Rattus norvegicus: one gene and its partners. The protein of the gene in region 4 purifies or fractionates together with the protein of the main gene of each other region. This does not show direct contact. Links are inferred from orthologs where the notes say so. Each region holds a gene or a part of one and is shown on either strand. Other genes may lie near its edges.

Region 1 (3,931 bases), on a different chromosome or scaffold from region 4:
GCTCACCCCTGTAATTTCAGCACTCTCCCTCTCCGAAACAGGGTCTCACTACATAATTCTGTTACATATAGTTCTGGCTATCCTAGACCTCACTATGTAGACCAGGCTAGCCTCAGAGATCCGCCTGCCTCTGCTTCCTGAGTCCTGTATGCCACTACCGCTCATTTCCTCCGATCTTAAGCGAGGCAGGAGAAAGAACTAGGTAAGGGGTAACCTGATGGAGAGGGTGTGCATTGGCGCTACTGGCACAGACAGGGTAGCACAGAGCCCAGGTTCCTCATCCAAGCCCTGTCCAGACCCCTGATCAGTCTCTGTTGTTTCATAAACTACACGCTAAGCCTGTAACCAATGTAGCATTTCTGCTGGCAGGCCACGGTGATCAAAGCTTGCAACTGAGTTCAGAGAGTGTAGCTCCACTAAGGACAAGTGGCAGGTCAGCCGGGACACGGCCGGGAAAGCGGAGGCCTGTCCTGGCCCGCAGCATTTTGGAAAAATTCAGCAAAGGCCCGCTGTGGCCCGCAACATTTTGGGAATATTCCGGGCCTAACAGACGCGATGTAAGGAAGCGCGGGCCAACACCGGAGAACAGTTTATATCGCTGCAGTTAAAAGCCTCAGCGACACCCGGCCAGATGCTCGACTCCCAGGAACCACCAGCCGAGCACCCTTACAGGGCAGCGGCCTAAACCAATCAGCGCCAAGTATGACCAATTTCTCCCCACCCATCCACCCAATTGAATTTCTTCTCTGAAAGGCGGTTCCGTCTAGGAGGCCTTCAGCCCAATGAGAGTTGTGGAAATTTCCAGAAAGAACAGGACCAATGGGCGCGGCCAGGTCAGCTATAATTGACGGACTCAGCAACCAATCCGTGTCGTCAAGGACCGGTTCTCCCTCAGTTAGCCCAGCCCCGAAATGGGCGGGGCTCGTCTCGGATCGTCCAATTCCGAGGTGCAGAGGAGGCAGGGCTAAAGAGAAGACCCACAGAAAACCAATGAAAGAGAAGTTATGATGATTGACTGGACTTTAATCCAATAGTAGAGGCGCACAGAGCCTCCTGGACGGCTCAACCAGTGAGCAGGCGAGGAAGGGGCGGTAACCTGGGGGTCCCGGCAGCTTCTAGTAGGTTCCAGAAGGCGGCGCGTGCGGTTGGGAACGCGGAGCGGACGAATTCGATTCAACGGGGTTCCGGGCCAGGCTATGGAGCAGGTGAAGGGGGAGGGGCGGCCGGGGCTCCGGGGCAACGCAGGCCTGTTGGCGAGGAGAAGCAAGTGGTCGGGGGCCTGGCCACGCGGCCGAGGCGCGGGCGTGAGGGCCGCGGTCAGGCGTGTGAAGGGAGAATGGCGAGCGCCAGTCGCCCCCGCGACCCGCCGAGTGGAGCGGGAACAGGCCTGGCCGCGGCCAGGCCCCGAGGCTTCTGGGTGCGGGGCTGCCTCAGCGCGGGGAGGCCCCGGCCGGCCGCTGCAAACTTGGAGGGATCCGGTGACCGATCACCTCGGCAGCCTTCGGGGTACACGGCATCTCTTTGCGCCCGGGAAAGGGGCCCGCGCGACTGTGCACAGAAGGCGGGCGCGGATAGTGTCATCGAGTCTCCCTGAGGCTCCAGATACATATGTCGCCCCTCCCCCCTTTTTTCTTGGTGACTGTAGGGTGACTGAGGATCTGACCCTTGGAAATTCCGTTCCCAATAACACAGGATTTAGTGATTTTAGACAGTTGGGAGCCGATAGTGAGGAGCTAGAAGTCCCTGCCTGCCTCTTCCGCTCAGCATCTGGGGCACAGAGGCAAACCTGCTGTCCTTACCTTGGTGACTTAGCTCAGGCCACAGTGGCCTGCATCTGTGAGGCCTGGAGAGGTTTTGTTACCTTGGAAGCTGTCATTGAACCGTTGTGATTCAGCCAAACACAGAAAAAAAGAGCACAGCTTACTACTTTTACTGTGATGGATAAAGTGAAACCTTTTGTTCTGGAAGAGCCACTGTGAGGGACCACGGGGCCTCTCTGCTTGTTAGTAAGACTAAATGAGAGGTTAATTAACTTTTTTGTACCCTTGGAGTAATTAAGTTGTAACTGAGATAGGTAGGCTGCAGTACAGACAAGAGAAACGCTTTTTGGAATAAGCAGCACCTTGCTCTGTTAAAACAAAAAGGAGTTAGTTGTTTTCCTTTATCATTCATTCATTTATTTAGTGTGTGGTGCTAGGGATCAAACCCAGGGCCTGGAGAATTCAGAACTATGGTCTACCACAGCCATCCTCCCCAACCTCCTCAGGGGAAAAAAAAATCCTGCCAGCCATTGTACAAGTGTTCATGTAGATAGTAAAGTAAGTGAATGGCTGAGCCCAGGACTGCAAAATAAGATTTCAGTGTTGGGCTTAGAGATGGTTCAGTTGGTAAGGACGTGTAAGAATGAAGACTTGAGTTCAGATTCTTAGTACCCACTAAAACGTAGGGAGGAGGGGAGACTGGAGGATCTTAGTCTGTGAGCTCCAGGTTCTTTGAGAGATCCTATCTCAGTAAGGTGGAGAGCATTAGAGGAAGAAACCCTGACTCCAACTTCTGCCCTGTGCACTAGCTGACACACAAATAAATTTGAATATTGAAAATTGTACATTGAAAGAACTCTTTCAGGTAACTCCTACAGTGACTTGTAGTTTACATTTTTTTTTTTTTTTTTTTTTTTGGTTCTTTTTTTCGGAGCTGGGGACCGAACCCAGGGCCTTGCGCTTCCTAGGTAAGTGCTCTACCACTGAGCTAAATCCCCAGCCCCTAGTTTACATTTTTAAGATTTATTTTTGCTAGGCATGGTTGTGCATGCAGTGAAGTTTAGCACTCCTGAGGAAGAGGCAGACTGATCTCTGAGTAAGTAACCGGACAGCCAGAGTTTCGTATGAGGCCCTGTCTCAAAAAAAAACCAAGGGGTTGGGGATTTGGCTCAGTGGTAGAGCGCTTAAGGCCCTGGGTTTGATCCCCAACTCCAAAAAAAAAAAAAAAAAAAAAAAAACCAAACCAAAAACCCAAAACATTTTTAATGCCCGGTGTGGTAGCACAGGTCTTTAATACCAACACTTGGAAAGCAGAGGCAAACAGATCTACAGCTTTGTCTACATAGTGGAGTTACAAGATCAGCTATCAGTAAAGAGACCCTGACTGCAAACACAGATGAGTTTTTATTTGTGTACTGTGTGCTCTTTTTCTCCCTTGGCCTTCCTGTAAAGGAATGGCATTTGGCAGTTTCATGTCTTTCCTTTACTTCTTGCCCGTCATCCTCCTTCCCTGAGAACAGGGTCCCTGCTTCTAAGTGTTGGAGTTACAGAGCAAACCCAGACCAATGGAAATTTCTGATTGGTGTGCCTTGGGATTCTAAAAGCATCTGAAAGAAAAATTCTGTGTCAGTCTTGTCAATCATAAGTAGATAATAGTTTCATAATAGGTGCTGTAATAATTTCAGTACAGTTTGACTCAGTGGTTTGGTCTTGCTGGCCTCACATTTAATATATATAGCCAAGAGATGACCTCCTTATTCTCCTGCTTCCACTTTATAAGTCCTGAAATAATAATAGGTGTATGTCACTGTGCTTGGTGCTGGTATCCAGCCTGGTGCTTCAAGTGAGTTACATCCCAGTGACATAAGTATACATCCTACTCCACTAGTGTTTACTCTTTGCTTGGCTTTAAAAGAGAGCTGCTAGCCTGTGGTAGTTTTAATCTGAGTACTTGGGAGGGAGGCGGAAGTGGAAGCTGGCAGATCCCTGAGTACGAGGACAGCCAGGGCTACACAGAAACCCTGTCTTGGAAAGTCAGTGGTGGTGTGCTGTGAAGCTGTTTTTTTTTTTTTTCCCCATAGCTAGCTTATATATGCAGTTTTTTGTTGTTGTTGTTGTTGTTTTCTGAGATTTTTTTTTTAAATTTCTGTGTAGCCCTGGGTATCCTGAAA
Region 2 (4,023 bases), about 150 Mb from region 4:
AAGGAAGGAAGGAAGGAAGGAAGGCAGGCAGGCAGGCAGGCAGGCAGGCAGGCAGGCAGGCAGGCAGGCAGGCAGGCTGGCTGAGTGGCTGGCTCACTCACTTTCGTCCAGGTTGATGTAGTCCTGCCGCTCCTCCTGGTCGCCCGTGCGGTGGTTTCGGGAGCGCTGGAGGATGTGGGCCCTATCCCGAATGTGATGCCCAATGGACATCTGCTCTAGGCCACTGTCTGAGTCCCGGACAGTCCTCCGTGTCTCCCGGATCTGGGACAAAGGGACCAGACACATGCAATTGTCCCCACAAAGCCCTGGCTACATCACCCTGGATGAACACACCACCCACGACCCATTCCTGAAAAAAGACGTCCCTGGTTCCTGTGTGTGCCAATCAGTCCTACCTCCTCTGAGATAGGGGAGTTCCTTACTCACCCCGCCTGGGGCAGAGCGCATCTCAGATGTCTCCTGGTAAACCTTGGGGGCACCATCCCCAGTGTTGGAGTAGGAGATGACCGTGGAGGAAGAGAAGGTCTGGCAGTTGCCTCCGGCGGCCATGTGCTCCTGAGGAGAGACTGAATGAGGAGGGCCTACTTTGCAGAAGGGAGCTCCCTCCAGCTGACTGCTCTTGCCTCAGCTTTCTTAACTACACAAGGAGAATGGGCATCACAACTGCCCAACTCCCTAGCCCAACACTAACACATGTGATCGCTCAGGGGTATAAGAACACACACAGGACCCCGGTGCTCTGGCTCAGCTCAGTCCAACCCAGCCTCTTCACTAGCACATCACCTCACCCCCTCCCGCCATGTTGGCTGCCACCGAGATCAAGGCCGGGGAAGACTGGAGCAAGTCATACCATGTTCCCAATCATGTCGTTCATCATCCCAAACATGTCCATGAAGCCGCCGGACTGAGGAAAGGAGAGGGTCAGGAAGATGGGTCAGCGGTTGTGGGCCTGTCACTCACCTGAGGACAGACCCGCTTTCCTTCTTAAATGTAGCCAGAACACTCATGCTCCTCCCCATAAGCTGCTGGCCACCTTCTCGGGTCTGTGGCTGTTCTGATGCTTCTCCTACCTGTGCATTTCCCTATCTTTAAGGAAGTGACCCAAAAGCAGTGAGTTAGCTCCTCTGAACATGCTAAATGTTGACGGTTTGCCTTTAATCCAACACTGGGAGGCAGAGGCAAGCACAGATGACTTGTGGCCAGCCTGGTCTACAGAGTGAGTTCCAGGAGACCCAGGGCTGTTATAAAGAAACCTTGTCTCAAAAAACCAAAATCCAAGACATCGACCAAAAAACCCTCTGAATATCTAGAGTTGTAAAAGTGTCCCAAAGTCTCCCTCCTCAAAAGAACTGCTATACAATCTTACTTTCCCCAGTGGATAAGAACTTCCAGCTATCAGGAGTATTTGAGCACTTTATTTATATTTTTCTATGAATGAGTGTTCTGTCTGCATGTATGTGTTCCCTCCATTCATGCAATGCACGGTAGGGAACAGAAGATGGCATCAGATGCCTGGAGACTACAGACAGACAGTTGTGAGCTGTCATGTGGGTGCTGGGAACCAAACCCTGGTTGTCTGGAAGAACAGCCAGGTGCTCTTAACCCTGGAGCCATTTCTCTAGCCCTAGCTCCATGATTTATATTCAATGGGCTCTAAACTATGTCAACTATCCAGAGAAGATTTTGAGACCACCCCTAGACTAACATTGTCACCAAAGTGGCACATCTGAAAATAACATCTAAGGTCTGTGTGTATCTGTGTGTCAGAGAAAGAGAGAGACAGAGACACAAAGAGCCAGAAGAGAGAGACAGACAGAGACACAGGAGAGAGAGAGAGAGAGAGAGAGAGCGAGCTCGAGGGGAACAGAGAAGACAAGAACTCACCATTCCCAACATCCCAAAGGGAGAGACAGCCCCAGCCTACAAGATAAGGAACAGAAGTTAGAACTACATCCTACGACCTTACTATACCAAACGTGGCCAGTGCCTCCATCCCCCAACCCCATCCTTCTCTCCTCGGGAGTCAAAGCCCCCTTTCCCAGATTCTCTATCCCCACTCCTCTGCCTCCCACACAGATCATGTCCTTTTAAAGCTGGTTGTAGGACCAGAATGGCAGCATACTTAACTAGTCACCCTGGGTCTCGGTATGTTCCAACTGTTACCTGCATCCTGCGGCTGGCAGGCCTGGTTGCTGGCATGTTACCATCTGTGATGCTTAGGAAGGGGCTATATCCAAAGCCACCTGACAACATGCGGCTCATATGCTGACGGTGAATTGCAAAGGGGTCCCTGTGGAGTGAGCATACAATACAGACGGCAGATTAAACCCCAGCCTTCTTCACCTCCCCCCAAATAAGTCAGGGTGCGCAGTGGCAGGAGACCAACTCCCGTCTGAGAGCTGCAGCTAAATTCTATCCGGTTCCAGACACGGGAACCCAGAGGTCTGTCTGAACTGCTCAGACCTGAATTAGAGTGGGATGAGTGCACGAGGGGGGAGGGAATTCTCACATCAGGAACATGGGATCCTCAGGCTCCACGTCCCTCATGAAGCGGAACATCCTGATCTCAGCTCCAGGGGGCTCCACACTGTGAAGATACGGAGGCTGAGTTTCATGCAGGCTTATGCACACCAGCTCAGTGTAGCTACTCTTAAAGCTGTCTCTTGCACACACTATCAATGACCCATCCAAACTCCAGAGAGACCCTTCGGCAGGTGGACCACATAACCTTCTAGTTTTGAGAGCGAGTAGCTCTCCAAGCCGGTCACGGAATTTTCCCCAAGCTTCTTAGTGTTGCCCCTCCACCCCCGCCCGCCATCCTCTTCCCCGAGCCACGGTCAGCTCCTCCTCCGACGCCAGTCTCGATGAGAATCTCGAACGGCGGCCCGCCACCCCATTAATGACCCCAACTACTCCGCCTTCTGCTGGCACGGGCCGCTACCAGGCCTCTCCGGGCGGGCCTCACTGCCCACCGAGCCGGTCCGCCGCTGCCCCAACCCGTGCCTCCCGCCGGGCGAGCCGGAGAGGGAGGTCCACTCCCGGGCTCGCATCCCTGCAACCGTGCGGGCCGCGCCGCCCTGGCCTCACCGGTCCCCGACTCGGGCTCAGCGGCCCATCCGGCCGGCCTCTCCTCGGGGCGCTGCAGGAGCAGGGTCTCGGCCCGGGACGCAGGGATTGGTCCGCGCGGGAGCTTCTCGCCTCCCGCACCGCCTCCTGCCTTCAGCTGCCACCTCCGTACCCCCGCCCTCGGCCCGAGGAGCCGAACCTCGGTCAGGCCCGAGCGGAAGTGACGTCATGACGGACAGTCTTGGGGGCGGGCCACGGGAGCTCCACCCACCTGCATGGGAGGGGGCGGCGGGCTCGCGGCGGAGCCCCGGAGGGCGGGTCCTCTGGGGCCGGTGGGAGGTCTCGTTAAGCTGGCACGGGGATCTGGGGACAGGAAGAGGCTCCTGCAAAGGTGGGGGAGGGCGGAGCGGAATCGGGAGGGACTGGTTGAGCGCGACGGGGGCAGGGTGTGCCGCACCTTCTTTGCGGGAGGGGGGAGGCGGTCTGTCTGGGGGCGACCGGTGGGGCGGATCCCTGCGGGGACCTTTAAACTCAGTGCAGGAGGGGCGCTTAACCAGGGGAGCGCGGGGGCCTGTCCCTCTGGAGAGACGCTCCGGCGGGCGGGGTCCTCCGAGTGACGCAGAGGAGGAGGTGACAATTTAGCTCAGGTCTAGTTCAGCCTTGGAAAAGGCCAACCAGGGAAGGGATGTTGGGAGTTTGGCCGCCAGAGAGCGCTCCTGGGCCAGGCTGGATCTTTACTGCCTTAGGACACCGGGTTGGCTTAGGCTTCTGGACCACTCCAAGACCTGTCTGTGAAGGGTTGGCCTGGGCAAAAGCGTTAGTTCTGATGTTTGCTTTTTGTTGTCGGCTTTTTAGTTTTGGCTTTAGTGCTCAGGATCCAACTGAGGGCTTCGGGTTTGCCAAGCACATGTCCTACCACTAAGTTACATTCCAGTCCCATTTCTCTAGCTCTTACGT
Region 3 (4,102 bases), on a different chromosome or scaffold from region 4:
GATGCTTGTTACTTTAGTTACTTTCCTCCTGCTGTGATAAAACATCATGACCAAGGCAACCTGTAAAATAAAGCATTTAATTGAACTTAGATACAGAGGGTCTGAGTCTATAATGGCCACAGAGATGCCCTGAGCACTCACATCTCAAACCCAAGTCGAGGCAGAGAGACACTAGGAATAGCTTGAATCTTTTCAAACCTGCCCATAGGGATACACTTCCTCCAGCGAGGCCTCACCTAAGTCCTCCCTGGTGATGAGGACAGAGAGTACAGGGAGGGGGAATTCAAACAACCACATCTGCCTGGCTTAGTTGCCAACCTAGCACAGAGGCAGACACTCTACCGCAGAGCTGTGTCTGCAGCCCCTTTTATTTTTCTTTTGACACAGGCGCTTGCTGAAGCTTCCCAGCCTAGCCTTGAATTCACTCTGGCCTAATTCACACAACTCTGTCTCAGCCTCCAGCGGAGCATTAGACCTGAGACTTGCCCAAGCTCAGACTTCCAAGACGTCCACAAAATGTTCAGATTTCTCGGTCGTGTCGTGAGATGACCGTGTTTAATGAAGCCAAGATAATCCACCGCTCATTAGTATTAAGATGAGTTCAGGATAAGGATGGGGTGGGGGGTGGAGGGGTGGGACTAGAAGCCAGTCGTACTTAAGGGGCTTGTCTCTGTTCAGTGATCTAATGGCTTTGAGTTCTGAGTGAAGGAAGTAAATGAACTTTGTTTCCCTGTGCATTTCTGTATCCTGTGCATTGAGAGAGCAAAACACGACTTTAAGTGGACGCGGCTTTGTACTTCAGCCCTGCTGACCTCTACAGCTTCTGACACATGAGCCTACCGAATATCATTCGCAGAGGATTTAAACAAGTTATGTGTGAAAGTAATAATCCTTTCATTGGAAAGGCAAGACAACACAGATGCACTTGGCTTCTCCTTATTTGGAGCCTGTGGTCCAGGCTTTCCCTGGACTCTCCGGAGCCCGCCTGGTCACCCGACAGGTCGGGCAAGTAGAGACTGCCCTTTAGGGCGTCCTGAATTGTCTCCGGCTCTCCCCACGTCACGGGCAGCACCCACTACGTCCTTGCTGTGAATCGTGGGTGCTGGGAGGAACGGCGTGGGCCCTCGGCGCCCCGGGGCAGGGTCCCCCACCCAGGCGTGCGGGCGGCTGCGCCCGCGCCTGCCCTTGTTTGGCCGCGCGGCCTCGGGGGTGGGGAGCCTGGGAGGTGGGGGCGGTGCCGTCCGCGTCAGCGGCGCCTGCGGTGACGGCGACGTGCGGCCCGCGCCACTGCTACCCGCGGACGCCGAGGACCCCCGGAGCTCATGGCCCAGGCGAAGATCAGCGCCAAGGCCCACGAGGGCCGCTTCTGCCGCTCGTCCTCCATGGCCGACCGCTCCAGCCGCCTGCTGGAGAGCCTGGACCAGCTGGAGCTCAGGTGAGGGCGGCGGGGGCGCGCGCGGGCGGGGGCGCGCTCCGGGTGGGCTCCCCTCCCCCGGCCGGCAGCGCGGCGAGCCAGTGCGGCTTGCAGAACTTCCAGATCCTTCGGCGCGGTCCCCCTCTGCCTTTAACTTTCCCGCTTCCAGGGGGCAGGCAGCAGGTTGGTGTGGTCCTTCCCCCCTCCCCTGTAATAAGTTTCTTTGCCCCAGATCACTTCATAGTAACACAAGAGTAAGTTTTAAAAAAGAAAAAACCCAGGACTGCCCCTCCGGGGGACCAGCGAGAATCAGACTCAAAAGGGGCCGCGCGAGATACCGAAGTTGGATACCATCCTTCCTTCTCTTAACCACGTGCAGTGCCCTCTGCAGTCTGTCCGTGTATGTTGTGCGTTTAGAAGACACAGCTGACACTTGGGAAGTGCCAGTCGCAGGTCTGAAAACACCAAAGGCAGGCGTCACACTCTCCCTGAGATTCTATCACGGGGACGGCCTTGTAGTAAAATTTCTAAATCGTGAATACTACTAGCAGATGCTGTGAATACTTGGCTTTAGCAACATGAGCCCCGGTGTATCTGGTGGGAACGTTAAGGTCTCCAAAGTTGTGCAAGTTTTGATTGTGTGCAGGCGCTGTTCCATGAAAATCGTATGGAGACACCCTGACACATGTTGTTCCCTAGTTTTCTCCAGGTTCTGCATAAGCAGAAATATGAGCCAAAATCTTAAGAGTCTTGTGCGTCTTCATCTCTCTCCGTGCATCCACCAAACACAGTATGTTTGCACAGAAAAATACAAGCAGTGTTTGTTACAATTGAGGTGTTCGCTATTTTTACTATTAGGAGAAAAGAACCAGAAGGTGAGAAACTTTTAGTCTCTGGAGTAGCAACCACAAGAGAAGCCTGAACCCTATGTCCCCCAAACCGGAGGGAGACAAAGGGACCTATGCTGAGAAGGGAGGGGGTCAGCATTAAAGCCCCTCTGAAAAGAGAGGAGTGTTTCCCTCTGTGAGGTAGGCTCCGAACTTTGACAGTACATTCTCAACTGCTCCGATTTTTTTTTTCCTTGAAGGGTTCAGGAAGTTGTCACTCTTCCTCAAGCTGAGTCATTGTTCAGAAACTTGAGTTAATCCCTGCCGGCCATGTGCTGAGTCCCTCCTCTCCTCCTGGGGGCCTCTTGAAAGTCTGGGGGTTGCTTAGTGTTACATTCTAATGTCTGACTACGTCAAAGGAATCTCAATTCCCGGCCCATAGGAGATTAAATTATGTTACTTATTAACAGTTGCGCTGAAGGGGGTTTCTTACTGTGTGTTTAGTGGTTCAAGGCCTTTACCAGTAAGCGCAGATTTCTGTAAGTCTTGTTTCTCTTTAAAAATGTGATGCGCACTTAGAAGTAAGTTTGTCAGAAGGTGAAAGAAATGGGGGGAGGGATGATGCTGCCTTTTAAGGTTTGGGGGCCCTTTTTAGAAGCCACCTGGACAGTGTCACAGAGCAGGACACTTTAAAATTAGGCTTTTCAAACATGGGTAGAGAAAGATGACGCTCCTGTGACGTCCCTCCAACTTTCTTAGTGCCCATGTGTGGGAAAAGCAGTGGATGGGGTAGTGTAAGTCATTGGTTGGTAGCCAGTGTGCATCTTCCATTCAGTTGAACTGGTTCTGTGGACTGAAACCACATCAAAGGCTTTATGTCCTGCAGGATGAACTGACCTCGGGGGGTGTCCGAAATGCTTTAAAATGTTTTATAAATCGGTAACAGATGCCGTTTGTTTCTAATGGCTTATGATATTAACGACACCATCTTACATTAAAACAATATTTTATTACTACGCCTCCTCTCCTGCAGTGCTTTCTCTAAAAAGATAATCCCGTCCTTTCCTGATTTACATGACCAGCTCTATGGGGATTCTGCGCTTGTCGAGGCCGAACGCCTTACTCTTTAGTGGTTATCCTAGTTTATAAATCATCCATGTTAGCATCAGTCTGTAGGCTAGGCCTCGTGTCTCTGGGGGAGTTACCGTTATCTGTATTGCGCAGATGAGAAGTTGAAGCTCAGATATACACAACATGCTTCAGTCCAGAGCAGAGCACTTCACATGTGAACACGGGAAGACCGGCTGCTCAGGTCAACACCATGTGTCCTGGTCTTGAATATCACTTTTCAAACTGTCCGTCTGACCTATGAATGAATATGATTTTACTAAAAGAGAAGAAAATCAATTTAGCGTTTGAGTCAGTAAACATTGAAGACCTGGAGCATGTCTGTTATTGAGTAGCTTCTAGGAGCTGTGGGTCAGGGGCTGGGCTTTGGACATTGGCCAAGGAGGTATAATGGTTGGTAGGACTGGGAGATCGGCTGCTTACACATCTCCCAAAACCGATCATGTGGTGAGCAGCTCCTTCCCAGTTCACTCAGCCAGCAGGGGCCAGGGAAACGGGCCACCCCCTGCTTTGGTTTCTGACTGTTTAAGGTTCCTGTTAGCATGTGCCAGTGTTCCAGGACCCACAAAGCAAGTTGACACCATATTTAATTTGTCGTTAACAGTCTGTAATTTAGAAGGAACGCTTTTCGTGCACACTGTCATTTGAATCTTATAAAACCCCCGAGGGAGGAGGGCGTTATTATCTTTTAGCAGTGAGAACGATGGGCTGTGATGGGACTTGGTGGGAAGGA
Region 4 (4,014 bases):
AGCCCTCCTGTTAGCTGTAGGAGTTTATATAACTTCTCCACATGGGGGGTGAGCAGTGGGTGGGCCACTGAGAAGAGTCAGAGCCCTCAAAATCAGGACAGACTGAGTATGGTGCTGACCTTAGTCCATAAAGTCAGGCAGATGCGGCTCGGGGGTACAGCATTGGAACTGTGTACGTACATTCAGCTGTCCTGGAATTAGCTGTGGACCAGGCTGTAGAAAATGTGCAAAATGCCTTTGGTTCGGCATCTCAATGAAAACTAGGCCCGGTGGTTGTGAAGGATGTCATCCCAAACCTGTAATTCTGGAAAGTTCAAAGTCAGAGGGAGCAACTAAGCTGCAACCTTTTCAAAAGAGGGCTGGGGTAGGCTTCTAGGGTAGAGTGTTTAGCATGTACAAAGCCTTGGGGTTCAATGTCTACCACTAGGAAAATCAAATTTTGCACTCAAAAACAAAACAAAAACGAGCAAAGGAAAAAAAAAGAATGCCATGTGGTAAGAAGGTGGTTGAGGGTCTGGAGAGGTGGTTCAGTGGTTAAGAGCACTGGCTGTTCTCCCAGGAAGTCTTGAGTTCTATTCCCAGCATCCACATGGCGGCTCACATCACCTGTAATGGGAACCGATGTCCTCTTCTGGTTTGCCTGAAGACAGTGACAGTATACTCATATTCATAAAATAAATTCATCTTTATTTTAAAAAAGTGGTTGAAATCCAGATTCGGCACTCCATGTAAGTAATGATGGGGCCTCTCACGGTTCAAGTAAGATCAGGGCTGGGGACGGGGCACTGAGGAGGATCTAAGTCGGGACCACAGCTCTCAACGTCCATTGGGAGTGTGAGTCATATTATGCTAGCAGCTCGTTATCTCAGAATCCACAGTCAGAGGCTGTGAGCGTCCTTCCTCCCAGCCTGCTTCCGGCAAACGCAGGATTGTCTACAGGTCGCCTCAGGCTTTAGAGTCCTCCAGGCTCAGGGCTTGCGAAAGGTGGCGGTTTCCCACTCTATTCAGTCGCCTATATAAACCCTCTAGAGTTCCACCATGCTCAGCTCCGAGAATCTTCAGGTCTGGGAGACGCGCGCTATCGGATCCGACGACCAAGGAAGCTGCTGTGCACGCTAGCTTCAGGGCCGGGCGGAAGTCGACGTCGCCGCGCCGCCACCGCGTGACGCACTTCCTGTTTGTTGTTGGAGAAAAGGAGAGAAAGGAAAGCGCGAGGAGACGCCGCCACCGCCACCAGCGCACTGTGCCAGAGCCGCGAGGAGACCGGCCGCCTGACTTCCCCCCTCGCTGGCCGCCGCGTCCTCGGTGAGGGTCCGCGTATTGGGGCGGAAAGCGGGGTTGACTGCGGCGGGAGGAGAGGGTTTGCGGGTGAGCTAACCCGCTTGGCACCCGGAATACGGGTTCTGGAAACCGGCTCGACAGTGGGGCCGGCGGGTATTGCTCGCTAGGGCCGAACGGGTCCCAGTCCAAGCTGTAGTCTGTGTCTAGTTCTTGGTCTGGGCTGGTTCTAGGTTGGGTCTGTAGAGAGCGTTTTTGCGGTTCCTGGTCAGGCCTAGCTTGGGGCTTAGCTCCGGTCCGCTTCCCAGGCTCTCTGGTTAGCAGTGGCGGTTGGGGCCCGGCACGCGCTAGGTCGGCCGCAGAGCTCCAGGAGTCGGCGAGGCTGGTGTCACCGTGTCCTGGTGTCCTCAGTGCATTCTGTAAGCAAGGGGTCAGGTGGCATGCGAAGAGCAGAACTCCCAGGAAGGCACAGTCACTGGCCCAGGCCACCAGGCTGCGAAGGGGGCCGGTGAGAAGGCCAAGGCGGTTTGGTTTCCAGGATGCTCCTGGGACTGTTGGGGAAGTTTGCTAGGCGATCTGCCTGGCTTAGTTTACTTTTAAAACTCGTTTGCTGTTGGCCTTGAAGGTTGCTTTGCTGTGGTTTATGTAATAAAGTTTATGTAACTGAAGTTTACATTAAGTCTTAATTTACTTCGGCTGTGTAGACTAGGGAACTCTGCACTGCAAACTGAAAGGTTGTCTTAAAATTTTTTTTTTTTTTTGAGACAGAGAGTTTTACAGAATGAGTTTGTCAAGTTTTAAAAGCTTTGTTACCGAAGCTGTTTGTGAACCGTTGATAGGGAATGGCGGGGATGGTCCCACCTAATAAGGTGGGGAATGCCTACAGTGAGGAGTGTGTGCCCACCTTATTATTGTTGTTATTATTATTATTATTATTATCGTTTTTATTAGAATCATAGATTTGTGGTTAGGGTTTGTGCATTCGATCTAGACCCTAGAATCTTAGGAGATTCTGCTTGCTAGGGAAATAAGTGATAGCTACTATAAGGCAACCGTTTTAGTAGAAATATTGGATGTAAAAGCCAGAGGAGGGAACAGCTAAAGAGCAGGCGTCTTGACATTTGATACCTGAAATGAAGTGTATCAGACTTACTGATACCTGAAAGAAAGTTTTCATATCTGTTACCGTACTCCTTGTCCTTTGGGACGTCACCACCACAGGTGGAATTGCCCTCTGGTGTGTGATTACTATGTGATCAGTACAGACACTTGCAGTGAACTTCGGGTAGAGCTTTGGGATTAGGAAGAACATGAAATACGGGAAGAAATGCTGCCTTTTGTAGGAATGGGTTAATTAATTTATTATATATAAGTACACTGTAGCTATCTTCAGACACACCAGAAGAGGGCATCAAATCTTATTACAGATGGTTGTGAGCCACCATGTGGTTGCTGGGAATTGAACTCAGGACCTCTGGGAGAGCAGTCAGTGTTCTTAACCACTGAGCATCTCTCCAGCTCCAGTCTTCTCTTCTGTTCACTCTTTTGCCCAGGCAGACCTCTTAGATTTCCGGCCCTCTTGTGTCTCTTGGAAGTTGTTCCCCCCACCCGAAACCCCTGCCCGAGACAGAAGATGGGGTTTCTTTGTGTATCCCTGGCTGTCCTGAATTTGCTCTGTATACCAAGCTGGCCTTGAATTCAGATTCCTCTGCCTCTGCCCTCCTAAGTGCACTGAAGGCAGTACTCACTATGTCCAGCTGAGAAAGTTGGCTTTTAAAATATTTTTATTGTGTTTATGTGTGTGTATATATGAAATGTGTATCTTATAGCCTATGCCTGGGAATCCGACTTTCTGGCCAGTATGCTCTGTTTATATAGCTGTGCACTGCCAGTGCTGAGTTTGTTCTTTTTGATTTTGAGTTTAGGGTCTCAGCGTGTTAACCTGGAACCCAATGATCAGCCTCCCAAGCGCTGAGATCAAAGATGCACCACCACATCCTGCCCTTTTTTCTTCTACCTCTTGACTACAGGTCTCACTTTTTAGCTGTAGCTTGGTATATAGATCAGGCTGGCCTTGAATTCTGCTTTGACTTCACTAATATTCCCCATGCTTGGCCCAGAGTACATACAATGTTAGGGAGTCAACTCTCTATTTCAGTAGGTTCCTGGGATGGAATTTAGGTTGTAAGACAAGTGGGACTGAATTGTTTGGCCAGCTGGCCAACTCCATAGCCTGACAAGTTTGCTTTTGTTCAGTGGAAGATGAACAAGTGAACTCAGATCATTGAGCTTTAGAGTGGAATATCTTAAAGAAATCATTGTCTGCCAGGCAATAATGGTCCATACCTTTAATCCTAGTATTCAGAAGGCAGAAAGAAGCAAGCTGATCTCTGAGAGCTGGAAGCCAACATGGTTTACAGTTGGAGTTTAGGACAGCCAGGACTACACAGTGAAACCCTGTCTCAGAAAAACCAAACAAAAAGCCAAACAAATTATTCCTTGAGTCAGAGGTGGACCAGTGTCCTCCTGAGTTGGATGTCACCTAGGTCTGTATAGTGAGATCTTCCTTAAAAACAAAAGTATTGTTGATTTCAGTGTTAGATGTGAGCTAAATAGTATATTGGGTAATGAATATTCTTGCAAACTGTGAAAACAGAAGTAGGAATTCCTCAGAATAGTGGCTCTACTGTCAGAGTTAAGTGACAATACCATTTCCCTATGTAAACCTGTATTGTA

Evidence for each region. Proteins that work in one complex are often made in the same cells at the same time.
Region 1: the proteins of Dnajb6 (region 4) and Stip1 purify together in Homo sapiens (affinity purification with mass spectrometry; 3 studies listed by BioGRID and IntAct, with this or other methods). This does not show direct contact. The link is inferred for Rattus norvegicus from reciprocal best matches to the Homo sapiens genes DNAJB6 and STIP1.
Region 2: the proteins of Dnajb6 (region 4) and Mlf2 purify together in Homo sapiens (affinity purification with mass spectrometry; 3 studies listed by BioGRID and IntAct, with this or other methods). This does not show direct contact. The link is inferred for Rattus norvegicus from reciprocal best matches to the Homo sapiens genes DNAJB6 and MLF2.
Region 3: the proteins of Dnajb6 (region 4) and Bag2 purify together in Homo sapiens (affinity purification with mass spectrometry; 4 studies listed by BioGRID and IntAct, with this or other methods). This does not show direct contact. The link is inferred for Rattus norvegicus from reciprocal best matches to the Homo sapiens genes DNAJB6 and BAG2.

What each region holds. Positions count from the first base shown.
Region 1 is NC_086019.1:213,654,855-213,658,785, reverse strand, and holds the start of Stip1 (stress-induced-phosphoprotein 1), read left to right. Parts: upstream 1-1,131; 5' UTR 1,132-1,196; coding exon 1,197-1,205; intron 1,206-3,931. UniProt on the Homo sapiens protein: Acts as a co-chaperone for HSP90AA1. Mediates the association of the molecular chaperones HSPA8/HSC70 and HSP90.
Region 2 is NC_086022.1:159,425,176-159,429,198, reverse strand, and holds the start of Mlf2 (myeloid leukemia factor 2), read right to left. Parts: upstream 2,801-4,023; 5' UTR 2,560-2,800; coding exon 2,510-2,559; intron 2,291-2,509; coding exon 2,164-2,290; intron 1,921-2,163; coding exon 1,885-1,920; intron 905-1,884; coding exon 851-904; intron 556-850; coding exon 427-555; intron 262-426; coding exon 102-261; intron 1-101.
Region 3 is NC_086027.1:43,473,838-43,477,939, reverse strand, and holds the start of Bag2 (BAG family molecular chaperone regulator 2), read left to right. Parts: upstream 1-1,302; 5' UTR 1,303-1,322; coding exon 1,323-1,435; intron 1,436-4,102. UniProt on the Homo sapiens protein: Co-chaperone for HSP70 and HSC70 chaperone proteins. Acts as a nucleotide-exchange factor (NEF) promoting the release of ADP from the HSP70 and HSC70 proteins thereby triggering client/substrate protein release.
Region 4 is NC_086022.1:6,229,205-6,233,218, reverse strand, and holds the start of Dnajb6 (dnaJ homolog subfamily B member 6), read left to right. Parts: upstream 1-1,214; 5' UTR 1,215-1,305; intron 1,306-4,014. UniProt on the Homo sapiens protein: Has a stimulatory effect on the ATPase activity of HSP70 in a dose-dependent and time-dependent manner and hence acts as a co-chaperone of HSP70. Plays an indispensable role in the organization of KRT8/KRT18 filaments.